2 linked regions of the Lonchura striata genome follow. The protein of the gene in region 2 interacts with the protein of the main gene of each other region in a pairwise test. Links are inferred from orthologs where the notes say so. Each region holds a gene or a part of one and is shown on either strand. Other genes may lie near its edges.

Region 1 (7,279 bases), on a different chromosome or scaffold from region 2:
GGTGGACCTCAATTTATGGTGGACAGCCAAAGAACAACGGTCTGATGTCATCATAAATCATTTATATTGCAAATGATTTAAAATAATGAAAACCCATATGCATTAAATTTTGACCTGTACATCCACTTGAGATATTTTAAGTAGACAAAAAATAGATTTTACATAAATCTTCAGTAAATGTATTTAAAAAAAAATCACGAGGCAGTAAAGCCTCTTTTAAAAACAGTCTTTGTCTTATCCTTCAGCTCTTGCTTCAATGTGCATTATTCAAAACCAGCATTATTCAAAACCAGTCTGCCCTGTCCTTGAGAGAAAAGCAGAAAAAGATAAAAAACATAGAAGGAAAACTAGACAAAACAGCTTGTGAACAAATCCTGCCAAAGCTGTCCTTCACACTATTCCAGGTGTTACAGAGTACTTGCTACACCTTACCCAAGCCACCTGTGGCTTTTGAAAGATTCTATTTCCAACCCCCTCTATAAATTCCAATGTTGTATTTGGTATTTAGAACCTGTCACACACCAAGACATGCAATTTTTTTTACCAGTTCCTAGTCTGTGGCCTTTATCCTTTGGTTTATGCCAACCGATGCCAATGGAAGTTCATGCTCTTCCTTGCTACGAGTTACTATAGAATCTTGCCAAAAAGAGACTCTGAATCCCAGGCTCTGGATCCCAGCTCCACTACAGCATAAAAGGCATCAAATTCCTTTGGAAGCTGCATGGCACATCAGCATCAGGAACTGACTAGATACCTCTGTGAATCATGGGGAGAAATTCTTCCCAGGCTCTGCTATTGGATGCTCTAGAAAGGCAAGGGAGATGACTTGAAGATGGTTTGATCTAACTCTGCCAAACAAAACAGAGTAAAGTGATTTTTGTATTCCCTGTGTAAGCTGCAATTGTTTGACAGTTCTCACAGGCACCACTCAAACAGGAGGATGGAGATGTCACATAATCCCCACTGTTCTCTTCGCAGCTTGTAAAGGTCAGGCCAATGCCAGTAATGGCTTTGGAGCTCAGAGAGGCCTTTTGGTCACCATTTGGGTTTCCAGTAACTACAGAAGATTCTTAGTTCCTACCAGAGCTCTCAGCCAGGCCAGTCCTTCTGTTTGCTGGGGCTGGTTTGCTGAGTAGCAGCCAGGACACCACCACACCTGGCTGGTGAGCCTTGGAGTTCCAGTGACATGCACTCCAACAAGCCTCACCCAATAGCTACTAGGGCTGAAAGGACCCAGACTGAGCCACTGAGCCCTTCTGGAACTTTAAAAGAGCCAAACCTATAAAAAATCTGATTGTCAATATGTTTGCTGAGAGATTAAAAAAAACACATCACCTGTTCTAATCAGTCTGGAAGAGTTAAGTAACATGGTATGAACATTAGTATGAACCAAAAGGAATGCAGAAACTCTTCCTCTTTATGCAACGGGACTAAACTATCTCAGGTGGATTAGAAATGAGATAATTGGAATCATCATTTCATAGGATGATGGAAAAATTGCCTTAAATATTTCAGGCACTATAATGAAGCCTTAAGTGATGTTTTAGCTGAGGGAATTAGGAGTGTGAGTACCATGGACTAAGAAATCTTTTCAGGTACTTTATGTGGGTGAAAACTACTTACTTTGTTTCAGGGAAACTTTTCTTTAGTAGTTGTTGTAGACTGATGGGCATGAGTAAAATTTTTATGTTGATAATTTGCCTGTAAATGGAAAGCTCTAATTCTGGTAGGTATTTATGGAGAAACTGTTCATCCTCCTTATCAATCTGACTAGACCAATACACCATTATTCATGAAATTGTCCTGTCTTTTACTGCTCTGTAATTAGGAATAGGCCCAGGCATTTCATGTTTTTCATGTACCCATAGTTGCATGGGGGTTTTTGTATAAGGAGCTTATATTTAAGTGCCCATTGATAATGTTTTTTATTCCAGGTTCTTTTGGGAGGGTGAAGAGTTGATCATTATACTGAGTTTGCTTGTACCCATGAGCACACTTAACCCAGAGCAGCAAACAGTTATTGCATTGCATTTTGTTTTGTGCCTCTGGGCGCACTTAAATGATGGCTAGTACCACATATTGTATTTGTCTGCACCTATGGGCCCTTGGAATTGCCAGTGTGAAGGAACTGGTGAATTAACTAGTGGTATGCCCGCTGGTGTACTTACTTCAAGAGCAATACTACTGTTAATTGCTTAACTTAAACCTAATAATAATGCAAAATAACAGAACGGAAGTGCTGCAAGAATCCCGATTCAACCTTTGCTTAATTCTAAGCTTGTTTGTTGCCAAAACTGAGGAAGTTTTGGGGGCAGAAGTCACTCGTGGCTAATTGTCCTTTCCCTCCCTGTTTTACATTCAGCACAGAGCTCCCTGTTCTCAAGCTTCTACCTGCACAAAATCTAGTCCAAGGCTGGTGCTTACTCTGCTCATTAGTGAAATTACCACCAGATGCTGTGTGAGATGGAGGCCACTCTGACTCAGCACCACAACAACCTCTTCAACAGTGCTATTGCTGAACTCTGAGTGGAAATGGTGCAGCACATAATGCTGACACACAATTACCACTCCATCCTCACAGCATGCCATGTTCATGACACTGGCTGCCTCCATGCTGACTTGACAACAACAGAACTGGCTTTGGGCTGTATATTGTGAATCACTAGAAAAGGTACACATTTCAAGAGCATTACCTTCTCTTGTTAGCCTCTGTCTAGTCAGGTCTTCTCAGAACTCTGTTAAAATGGTAATTAAATGGCAAGACTGAGTCTCCTCACTGGCATGGATGAGCTGAACTTCAGTGGTGCTGGGAGCCAATTTTTGCACTTGAAGAAATCTAAAGTGGGAGTCTTAAATACTCTCAGCAGAAGCCATTAATGCAAGGTACTGGATTAACCTTTTCTAGTAGTAGAGTCATCTGTCCTTACTAATAATGAAACTCTGCCGTAGTCAGCCTGGTTAATCTACCTCTTCCTCAGGGAATACTTGCATAAAATCTGCAGAAGGCATGTTGGATCAATTCTTCCTACTCAGTGCAAAATGATGCTGTTCAAGAGCTATACTCAGCCAGTATTGCTCACATGCCTCTGTTGGCAACAGGGCTTGTGTCCTTTTCCAACTTATACATAACATTCAACGCCGACACTTCCAGGGTGATGCTGATAACAGCTGATTGCATCTCTAATGTTTCCTTTCTCTTCTGTCCAATTCTGTGAAAAAGGGATCTTCAAGTGCAAGTGTGGAATCTCCTCCTGTGCAACTAGAAGAGCCCAGGGTACACTTGAGATGATTCACAGGAAAGCTCTCCCCAGGGGTGGAGACCTCTCATTGTACCCTGGAAACACTGCACCACTACTTAGGCCTTGTTAGAAGAGTCTGTGCGGACTGTGATTGGTTTGGTTTTACTCTTAAGTTATGGGAGGGGGTTTTGGTTGTTTTCTGTTTGCTTGAGGTTTTTTTGCTTATTTTGTTGGTTTTCGTAGTTTTTTTTTCTAGAAATTACATAATCTTCTGAGTGGGAAGGGACCCATAACATCAAACTCTCCAACTCCTGCACAGCACATCCCAGCAATCCCACCCTGTCCCTGAGAGCTTTGTTTAAACACTCCTCGAGCTCTGGCAGCCTTGGCACCGTGACCACTGCCCTGGGAGCCTGCCCGACCATCCTCTGGGGGAAGAATCTTTTCCTGATATATTTGCCTGAACTTTCTCTGACCCAGGTCCCGTCAGTGGCCGCAGAGAGCAGAGATCGGAACTCTACCCCTGCGCTGCCCTCACAAGGAAGTTGTAGGCTCCGATGAGGTCTCCCCTCAACACGTCAGGTGAACAAGTTTGGGTTTTGGCACTTTGCGGGTTTTTGTTTGTTTGTTTCGGTTTTGTTTTGTTTTTTTTCCCCTTAAATTAGGTGCCCTGGTTCTTTCTGGTAGCGGAGACGGGAGAGAGGCGTCGCAGAGTTTCGGCAAGGCTGTCTTTACCAGCGGCTGCTCCGGGCGAGCTACTCGGGGCCGTCCCGGGAGCCAAATCCGAATTCGCACTTGTGTCGTTACCGCCCTCACGGACAGGTCCCGCGCGGCGCCGGCTCCCGGCAGCTCCCGCGCTCGCGCAGGCGCGGGCACGACCGCACCACCGGCCCCGCACCTGGGGGAGCGCGGCACTGAGAGCTGCCGTCTCCGCCGCCGGTTCCGAGAACGCCGCTCGAGCTCCGGCTGCGAGCGGGCGGCGCCCGCTGGGGCACGGCCGGGGCTTCACGCTCTGCGGCGTTCCGAGCGCCCGCCGCAGTTCGCCCCCCCCCCCGTCACCCGCCTGGAATAGTTCGGCCCGCGGCCCGGCCTGGCCTTTGAGGTGCCGCGGCCGCCATTTTGTGCGGCGGCGGATAGAGTGCAGTGGAGGTGGTGCTGAGGGGTTCTCGGGACGTCGTTCCCTTCCCTGGCTGGTGAGTGCGGCCGGGTGGGGCCCGGCCCGGTTCGGCTGCGCGCGGTGCTGGGGCGGGTGGAGCCGCGGCCGGAGGTCGCGGGCTTGGGCGGGCCGGGCAGGCGGCGAGGCCGAGGGGGGCTGTGCTCACAGCCTCTCGGGGGGAGCTCATGGCGCCCCTGGGAATTTCCGCCGTGCTCGGGGACCAAGTCGCTGTTGGTATCTCCGTAACTCCAGGACGGGCAGAGGTGTACAGCAGGCCCGGACGCCTTAGTGTTAATGAATAGCGCGTTTCGGTGCTCTCGTGTTGTGTAATAAAGAGATTCGTGCCTCAGGGCGAAGATGAAAGCCAAGTCAGGGGGGGATAGGGTGATCGCTTACGCCTGCTCTTTCCCTTTTGTACTTAGTAACTTCCAGCGAAAATGTCGGAGTATATCCGGGTGACGGAGGACGAGAACGATGAGCCCATCGAAATCCCGTCGGAGGACGACGGCACGGTGCTGTTGTCCACGGTGACGGCGCAGTTCCCTGGGGCGTGCGGTCTGCGCTACAGAAACCCAGTGTCGCAGTGCATGCGAGGAGTCCGGCTGGTCGAGGGCATCCTGCACGCCCCGGAGGCCGGCTGGGGAAACCTCGTCTACGTCGTGAATTATCCCAAAGGTTTGTCCTCGTGGCTTCAGTTCTCTGTTCAGGGCTGCTTTCTTTAAGGTCCCAGTCACTGCTGATCTAACACAGCAACGTGTTACTCTTTAACTCTCTGATTCACAGAGATCAATTGTTTATTCAGGTGTCTGTTCTGCCGAGTAGGTTTGACCCCATTGAGTTTTGTATTTTTTTAACGCTCTACCTAAACAAGTACTTTAAAGACAAAGTCTTGCCTTATCCTTGAAGGCTAGCCTTCAAAGGGTACTGTAGTGTACTGTACTGCACTGTAGTGTTCTGTAATCTCTGTACTCACACACAGTTTTCCTCAAGTCATGGTTTGGTCAGAGATACCACTTAGAAGTGCACAGGAAAGGAGAAACTTGACCACCCTGCTCCACCCCCCAAAAATGAGAGGAAGTAAATAAATTGCTAGTGAAGTAGTCTTGTTAGAAGTTCATGTTTTCCCCACCTTATAGGACTGTGAATGTTGCTGGATAATTCTTCAGTAAACTAATGCAGAACTAACTGGGTCAGTTTGTATTTTGGAAGAGGACTCGATTGTGGACTGGCTTTGGTTCAGGGCAGGCAGATATGTGTTCCATTTAGCCCTGAACAGCTGATGTGTGTCTCTTACAGTCTGTACTCTTCCTCATCACGGGTTATAATTTAACACCATGCAGTTCATAGTCAGTGGGTCAATTTCCAGCGCTGAGGATGTCTAATGTACCTTTTTATATTCAGATAATAAGAGAAAAATGGATGAAACCGATGCATCATCGGCTGTGAAAGTGAAACGAGCTGTACAGAAGACTTCAGATTTAATAGTCTTGGGTCTTCCCTGGAAAACCACTGAACAAGACTTAAAGGAATATTTCAGTACCTTTGGAGAAGTTCTGATGGTGCAGGTAAAATCCATTTGTAGCTCAAGTAAGGAGGGACACTGGGTATATATCAGGCTCCCAAAAAAGCAAGTGGAAACAAAAGAGCTTTATAAACTTGGACAAGATCAGAAACCGTGTCTCTTTCTAAGGATGTCTTTTTTTTTTCCATGCACCTGTTAATTTTGGGAGAAGATGTTAAGGAATTAGAAGTTGCTATGTAAGAATGGTTGTAAGACAGATGAGCTCTCAAACAGATTTTTACCAAATTCATTCAGAAACAACATGCTCCATACTAGTGGTTACTTCTGGGTTTTGTTTTTTTTTTTTTTTCCACCTAGGTTAAGAAGGATATTAAAACAGGCCACTCAAAAGGTTTTGGGTTTGTTCGGTTCACGGATTACGAAACCCAAGTGAAAGTAATGTCTCAGCGTCACATGATCGATGGAAGATGGTGTGACTGTAAACTTCCCAACTCTAAGGTACTTTGGGATTTACTGCTGGTTTTATTTGTACCAAACACTCCAAGTGCACCTCTTTATCAGCTGTGTTAGGGGAGAGCAACTGCACAGAATAACTGTCCGCTCTCAGATGTGGCTTTGCTATGAATGAAAAGAACAAGTGAGAGTAAGGGAGGAAAACAGGCAGCAGGTGGGTGAACTGGAAGTAATTTGAAATGTTGGGAAAATCGCTCATTATGTGAGGGAATGAAGTACAGATAGAAATCTGTGTTTGATGTCCAGCAATACCTGCCTAACTTGCCTGTTGCATGAATAAATGCAGAATAAAGCAGATGGAATCAGTAATTTGGGGAAGAGCAGAACAAGTCTTTGAGCTCCAAACTGAACCTATAGCTTCTATTCTTGTCTCTCTATGCAATTATTACAAAGAAGTGTTCTTCTGTAGTGGCCTTGTCACCATCCCTGTGTGTTGCTCCCATGGTCATTTTCTTAAGGCTCTTCCCCCCCACCTCTACCAAGGTGCAGCCATGTTCTTGGAATAGAATTTTAAGATTTTATTTCTTTTTAAGTCTTAAATCTGCCATCTCAAACTTTCTTCCATCAGCAGCCCTCAGAACAGGCTAGATTAAGAGTGTCATTTGCCATCCTGTAACTCAGTTCTCAAGGACTGTAGTTGTGATACCTTTTTCCTTCAATTCTCTCCAGCAAAGTCCCGACGAACCTTTGCGCAGCAGGAAGGTGTTTGTTGGACGCTGCACCGAGGACATGACGGCAGATGAACTCCGACAGTTCTTTGCCCAGTATGGGGAAGTGGTAGATGTCTTCATTCCTAAACCCTTCCGAGCTTTTGCTTTTGTTACGTTTGCAGATGATCAGGTAAGTCTT
Region 2 (7,760 bases):
CTTCAAAATGAAACCCTCTGAAGTCTTGCAGTATTTACATTTGGCACAGCTATCCTGACAGATGCCACCCCCAAGCACCAATGTTTGCCTCCTTTACTGAGCTCTCCAGACACACACACACACTCAAAAGAAGGTAGTGCTAGCAGAAACTAAGTGTCAGTGCAAACACTGTACCTTCCTCTGGGCTACCCCCTGAATTCTCCTTGATCCCCAGCCACCCTCTCTCCAGGGCTCAATGGGATTCAGAAGGAATCCCAGCTCTGTGAGGCAGAGAATGAGCCCCCCTTCACAGACCCACTGGGGTTCTCATGCAGCAGTCGTGTGGAAGGAAGGCTGAAGTATGTGGCAGCGATATCACTTGTGATATAACTAAACTGTTCACTTCTCATCTACAGCCTCTTTTGAAACCATTGAAAACAGATCTTCAAACATGATACTTCAGCTGCAGCTTTATTAATTCCTGTCCATTTGATTAAGAATATTCTCTCCTGGATTTTTTATTATCGTCAAGATCTTCCTCTCATTCTTCCTGCTTAGCTTAAGAAGAAGATTATTTCTTTTTCTTAAATCTGATTAATCTGGCAAGGTAAGAGAACAAGGATCAACTTTTCAGTTGAGAGACAAGCTACGAGGAGATACAAAATTTCTGATTAGAGAGATTTACAGCAATCCTAAAACAAACACAGAGCTGATTACATTGTGAGAGAAGCTTAAATTCACTGACAGTAAGACAAACTACAGCTTCTCCCTGATGTCCTAGTCCACTCTCAGATTTATGACCAGATTTGAATATAAAAAAATGTTAATGAATATGATTTATCCATGTGCTGTCCTGGCTGTAATTGCACGTGCTCTTGAGTTGGAACAAGGCAACATGGATGAGGACAGCAAGAGCTGCCACTTCACTTACGGCAAATCTAATTCAAAGAATTTGTTATGTCTTTCCACTTATTTTAATAAATAACTTTGGATGGTACAAGCTCAGTTATTAAAGACTGATAAAAAGAGACACACAATCAGTAAAACCAGGGTTATGCAAACCTTTGTTTTGCCTAAATGTGAGAACAGCTTTGATTACACAGAGATTAATCTAACATTTACAAATGTGCTGAAAAAGGCAAATCTGCTCTTAGAGACAACTGCCCCAAACTGTTACAGATATAATTGCTGTTTAAATTGTTGCTGCTTTTCAATAACAGATCTTAAAGGGTTATCCAAGACAGCCCCAGAGCCTGAGGGTTCCCAGATCCTCGGGAGAGGTCACCTCAGGCGTTTGGTGCAGAAACCAGAAGAGCCAGTGCTGCTGGAGCTCAGCATTAAGAGAAACTGTTAAGCCCACAACCCCCCTTTTATTCTATAAAAATTCCCAGACAGATTCTTAGATCTTAATTGCCCCCTATTAAAAATTCACTTCTCGCAGCGACAGGCAAAATAAACTTCCTACCTTGCTGAGAGGGACTGAAATCACAGCTGTAATAAAACCACAAAAGCAACTCACAATTTTAACCAAATCTGTGCTTCACTGCCTGAATCGGAAACACAAAAACACCCTGAAAAAGCGCAGAGCGGAACATCCTGCTGCAGGCAGGGTACACATGCAGCCTCAACACGGAATTTCACCACTTCACCCTTTTCTCCCTGACCTCCTCCATCATGCTCCCACTCTATCCCCTTCCAAGTATTTCCCCAAGGTGAGCACACCTTGGGAGAAGGAGCAGAGAGGCAGAAGCGCCACCACATGCCCTGAACTTTCCAAACCAGCACACCACAGCCAGTACCATCTAACAAGACAACACAAATTATTTGGAAAAGCCCATGGGAAAAGCAGTTTGGAAAGCAAGAGCTCCAGAGTCTGCCTCCTCAGAAAGGCTCGAATTAGCCCTGAGAAGGCAAACTTGCCACACTCAGGGCACAGTGTGGTAATTCACCATGGTGCAGCCACTCAAAGCCTGCTGCTGAAGGGAGACAACCCCCCCCCATCCTTCCTGTCCCTTCCCACTGTGACCCATAGGATGGTACAACACCCTCACAGTTGCAGGCATGTGCCTGAAGGAACCAGTCCAAAAAAACACGGAAACAAACATCACTTCAGCTTCAATACTGCCTGGAAAGGCAGCTGTGGTCAGAGCCTTCACTGAAACCTGCTGCTGCTGCCGCCATGGAAAGCCATATTTTAGAGACATCTTTGGAATAATCAGCTCCCTGTTCGGCCAGGAGATGTTTATCCTGAACTAGAAAACACCAACAACGAGACAAAACCCCCTGAGGCTGATCAAGGTTCGAGCACAAGCACAGGCTTGGTGTAAGTCTTGGATGTAGCGCCAGAGGCGGCTGCGCTCGTGTTTCCAGGAAGTTCTGGAGCTTGCTGCGGCTTCTAATTCCCATCAAAAAAAGTTGTGGAAAAGAAAGGACTGTGAAAAACATTCAAGAAACAGCAAAAAGCACTCCCACTGCTCCCTACTCAAATTTCACCAGTGCCTCAAATCCCACCTTTCCGGATCGAAGTCGCATGAGGGCAGAGCCGAGGGCGTCGGGAAGGGCTGGAATTCCAGCGAAGCGGCCGGAGAAGGGGCTCGATTCCCTGCTCCGGCGCCCATTCCCACTTCCTCCACGTGCCCGTTCCTTCCAGGAGCGCTCACGCGCGCCGGCGGCACTCAACGAGGCGCTGGGATAACTCCTCCCGCTTCCATCGGGATTAAAAATCCGAAAAAAACTCCAAAACCCAAAAAACCCTCAAACTTCTCCCAATCCTAAACAGCACCCGAAACAAACCCAAACACAACCCTAGTCCACCTACCCACCGACATGCCTTGGAAAGGCCTCGGGGCAGCCCACGGGGGCAACAGCGGGGGCTCAGCACCGGTGCGGCCGCCACGACCGAGGCGCCCCGGGGCGCCATGCCGGGCCCGTGCCATGCCGGGCGGCCTGCTCACCTTCTCCTCGACGCAGTTGACGATAATGGAGGGGTACTTGCGGCTGAGCCAGCGGAAGAAGGCCGGGACCCCCATGGCGGCAGCGAGACGGGCTGCGGCCAGCGGCACCCGCGGCACTTCCGGGTCGAGGGGGCGGCGCGGGGCATGCCGGGAAGGGAGGGGGCGGCGCGCGCGGTCACGTGGCGCGGTGCCGCCGTCTGGGGGGGGGCGGGGAGCGCGGCAGCGGCGGGAGCCGGGAGCGTGAGGGGACAGCGCCCCGAAACGGGTCTGCGCAGCTCCTGGCATACAAAAGGGACGCTCACAGGGAAAAAGCAAAACCAGAGGGCACAAGAGTGATATCCAGGAGGGAAAGCGAAACCTGAGGGAAGCCTGAGGCAGCCCCACTGCCGCCCTCACACTCAGCCAAGACAAGTGCGACAACTTCTCTTCAAAAACGGCCATAAAGAAGCAGTTTAACAGGAGAATCACCTTCCTTTAGCACCTTGTTAAAACATGGGGTGCTGCTGAGGGGTGCTTTAGGCTGCACGGCACTGTTGTCCAACAAGTCAATAATTAAGAGAGACATGGATGATTTATTTCAGTGCTGCGTGAGCTGCATGCTCAATATATTCCCTAAATGCAGCACAACCACTGTTACTTAAAAATCCAGAGCTGGCAACATCCTCAGCACAGCCCCTCTTTTAGGATTGATCAGTTATTTCCACATGAGTTACGTAACCCCAGCCAACTCTTCCATGTGCTCAGGGGAAGGGTCTGCACCTCTTCTTGGCCTGTAGGTGTGAGTTTCAGTGTTACGACAAACACGGTTCAGCTGTAGGATACATGGAATTTGGGTGTTTTGCCAAGTTAGGAATGCACACATAGGCATCAACATCTAGATTTCCTATATCCTTAAAGCTTGGTGGTTCCAGGGTGTCCTTGAAGGGATGCACTAATACGTCTCTGCATGGAAGTATACAAAAATATTACATTAGAGAACATCCCGACTTCAGACAATTTTGACTTATCCTGCGTTTGGCAACAACAGAAGCAATTCAGGGCACAGCTGCTCTGTGCCCTCTGAGGGGACATTTCCAGTGGGAAGTGGCTCTTTGTGATTCCTGAGAGCAACATGAGGCAAGGAGTCCCCATGCCCTTGCTCTGCCCGTGGCATAAGCAAATACTGTTAATTTGTGGCCGTTCAACAGCACCAAAATGGAATTAAACGGTTGGGAATTAAATGGGATTAAGACAAGCCAGGTTTTGCTCTGCCATGTCCTGTTGCCATCCATCAGCTCCGTTAGCAGGGCAGCCGCAGGGCCAAGGACAGGGAACAGCAGCCTGGGAGTCATTAACAAAAATAACAAAGTCTCAGCAGTGCTTGCTGAGTCAACGCTGCCGATTTGGGTTGCAGAGGAGAACTTTGGTACCTGGCTAATTCACTGTAGAATAAATTAACCCAGTATTGTGTCTCTCATTATTCTTATCCTCATTTGGCTGTTGTTAAGCCATTTTTTGTTGTCATTCCCCTCAATAAAATCTGTGACTTCAATAAATTTCCCCTGCAACTTTGTAGTCGCACCAACCACACCTGTGGTATCAGCTGAAGATTGTGCTTTATCTGTTCCTTACAAAATGTTCCCTGATTGAAGCTTCCTATTGTAGTGCTTCTCCTCCCGGAATTTTGTAGGGAGCATGGCAGCTTAGCATGAACATTTTATTTGTATTGATGGGCAATCAGTTTTTCTGATAATGATGAAGAAAACAGAAGGCTGGCAGATGCAAATGAAAGGCGATCATCTTATCTTATAATTGCTTGGGTAAACAAGTGCTGGAAAAATGAATACTGCAGCAGACAATTCCTTGAAAAGTTGGTCTGAGCATCAGCAGCTGCACTGGGCAGTGAGCCTGGGTCTCACCTGCTAATTGCACATCCATGAGCACAGCACAGAGCAGAGAACCCTGGGCAGGAGCAAGGAAGGCTTCCTACTCAGGCACTTTCCTCAGATGAGTGGTGCGCTGATGGGAATCTGTTTGGGGTGTATTGATTCCAGTCCCTCTGTCTGTCAGCATCACCTGCAACCAGGGCCAGGCTGCCAGCGTGACAGCTGTGAAAGAGCACAGGGAAGTTGACTAGTTGACTGGCAGGATGTTTTGAATCAAATGAGTCTGTGCACAATAAGAGTATCATCAATAACGCTCTGGAGGAACCTGGCTATTGCTCCGACACCAAGAGGCAGAGATTGCCTGCATGTGGCTCTACAGCCATCCGTCACCTGTCATGGGCCGCTGTCAGGGCTAAGCCAGACTCTGGTGGTGGAAAGCCCCACACACTGGTGTCATGCAGCAGACAGAAAGCGGGCTGACATCAGCAGCCCAGAGTCACTCAGGAGGAGCTCAGAGCTGCAAAGACACTGCGCTGCTGAGGCAATGTCCCTTGGTAGCGCAAGCTGCTGGATTTTTCCAGTGAGGCTGCTCCGCCTCTCCACGTTCCTCCCAGGCCTTGAGCAACATGCACACCCCACAGCACTGACAGCAGGCAGCAGTCCCACAGGACACAGAGCGTTGGTGTGGTAAAAAGGACATTAAAGCCCTCAGTAAAGTCTGGCTTTAGTTACAGAACCACAAGGTTGAAAGGGACCTTCAAGATCATTGAGTACAACCCATGCCCTAACACCTCAACCACGACACTGAGTGCCACATCTAGTCTATTTTAAAGCAGATCCACGGATGGTGTCTCCACCATCTCCGCAGGCAGATGATTCCAGTACTTTATCACTCTTTCTGTAAAAAACCTTTTTCCTAATATCCAACCTGTATTTCCTTTGGTGCAGCTAAAGACTGTGTCCTCTCACTCTGTCAGTTGCAACAGTCCCAGCAGTCTCCCAGGATGTCAGCCTTACTCACAGCAGCCAGCTGTGCCAATAGCTTCTGCTTGGTTCCAAGACTTCTGCAAGTCATTTTGTTCTGTTGAGCTTTCAGCCTACACGTTCCTCTTATTACACTGAATGTTGGTCCCATTTCTAGCTGGGTTTTGAGGAACGGGGTGCAGAGATGGGTGCCTGTGTTGGGAGACGTGGGAGTGCAGCACAGCACAGCACAGCTTAATTGGGGTGCTGCTTTCTGCTTTTGAACTTGTTGTCATTTAAGAACAGCTTTAACATGTCCCCTAGTTTCTCCATCCCAAAGAAAATCTCATGTTTAATGAACGTAATTTTTAGATAAAAGGAAGAAGAAAATTAAAAATGCATTAAGCTCCTGGAGTCATCCAATTACTGTGATGTCCACACAGCAACACCAGCATGGATTTCACAAAGCAGGGAAAAGCAGGAAAGCGCTGGGGCTTGCCACATGTAAATGCTGCTCTGTTCCAAAATGTGCTGAATTACAAATGGACATTTTATGCATTTCTTCTTCTTGATCTGTTGCAGAAGAAGATAAAGATCAAACATACCAGCCCACCCCAGCAGCGCCTATCTGCATACCCACAATGCATGTCTGCTTCTTCCCAAACCCTGTCTAGCACTGAAGTCCCAATATTGGGATGCCACAAGCCTCAGGAGGGGACTGTCATGGGGCAGGATTCCCATCAGAGCAGGAAAACACTGCAGGTCAGAGAGAGCACACAGACAATATATAGGACCCATTACATTTATTTGGTATTTAAATTTTCTTTGCCAATTAAGTAACAGGCAGTGCTGCAGCCTGTGGCACAGTCATTGTGTAAAAGAAAACACAGTTTGTTTCTTCCCAAAAGCCAGTGAGAGAATCTCAGTCATAGAAGTCATCAAAGTCGTCTGAATCTGTGCCGTGGGTCCGTGGGCGCAGAGCAGCCTCGAGTTCGGAGCAGCTGTCGTCAGATTCGCCCCAGAATGCTGTGGGTGAGAAGACGGAAAGCAGAGGTGCAAAACCTTTTCTGTGACCATGCCACTTGTCACAGCCATGAGCACAGGACAGGTCTCCTGAGGCTGACTGAGGGCTGGGAGTTGGGAGCCTCAGCCCCAGGTGTGCGTGTCTGGCATAGTGTCCGGCAGCAGAGCGGCTGCTGGACAGCGGCCTCATTCAATGCTTCCACTCCATTGTGCCACAAGGTAGCTGGGCAGAATATTTCCACTCCAAGCAATTTACTTGACCAAATGCTGTCTGAATTGCAGCTTTGTCTATTCTCTTCCCCTTTCTCCCCACTACTTGACCCTACGATGAAGTCACCAGAGGGCCATGACATCACAGGGTTGGCACAAAAATAGCAATGGCATCACAAATGAAAAATCACCACTTGGAGATCAGAGCAGATCCATGCAGGTCTGATCTCAGTGGAGCACATACATAGCTTTTACCTTAGGCTCTGAGAATCAGCAAACTCTTTTACTGACGGCAGCAGAATCCCACGGAAATTCAGAGTGCCTGAGAGATTTCTGGAGATGTGAATTCTTTTGACCCATGCATAGGACACAGTGGGAAGTGTGGCACATGAAGTCAGGGCCACAGTAGCTGACAGAGCCATGCTCTCTGTTCCTACCTAATCCAGAGGCTGCTGGCTGTCCAAAGGCAGCTAGAATGAGGCTCAGGGCTGGGCCAGGACAGCAGGAGGAGGAAGGCTGTCACAACTCACACACACACTGCAGCTCATGTTTGAGGCACTTTGGTGCCTCTGACAGCACCAGTTGCATGAACACCTTATCTACAAATGCAGCATCTGCATCTTTCATCCTCCATCCCCGGCCCCCTGGGCCGTGGGGCTGTGCTCTGCTGGGAACATCAGAGCCAGCCCTGCGCTGGCTGCCATGCTGAATGGCTCCAAGACAAGAAAGGGGCCAGGCATGCCAGAGTCTTTCAAGTGCCACCAAA

What was found.
Region 1: the proteins of XRN2 (region 2) and TARDBP interact in binary tests that used the Homo sapiens proteins (3 or more experiments, as listed by UniProt). The link is inferred for Lonchura striata from reciprocal best matches to the Homo sapiens genes XRN2 and TARDBP.

Annotation. Positions count from the first base shown.
Region 1 is NC_134626.1:2,036,066-2,043,344, forward strand, and holds the start of TARDBP (TAR DNA-binding protein 43), read left to right. Parts: upstream 1-4,229; 5' UTR 4,230-4,432; intron 4,433-4,817; 5' UTR 4,818-4,832; coding exon 4,833-5,070; intron 5,071-5,796; coding exon 5,797-5,960; intron 5,961-6,274; coding exon 6,275-6,415; intron 6,416-7,099; coding exon 7,100-7,270; intron 7,271-7,279. UniProt on the Homo sapiens protein: RNA-binding protein that is involved in various steps of RNA biogenesis and processing.
Region 2 is NC_134605.1:28,057,067-28,064,826, forward strand, and holds the start of XRN2 (5'-3' exoribonuclease 2), read right to left. Parts: upstream 3,073-7,760; 5' UTR 3,009-3,072; coding exon 2,934-3,008; intron 1-2,933. Other genes in the region: KIZ (centrosomal protein kizuna), read right to left, coding at 6,684-6,787. UniProt on the Homo sapiens protein: Possesses 5'->3' exoribonuclease activity. May promote the termination of transcription by RNA polymerase II.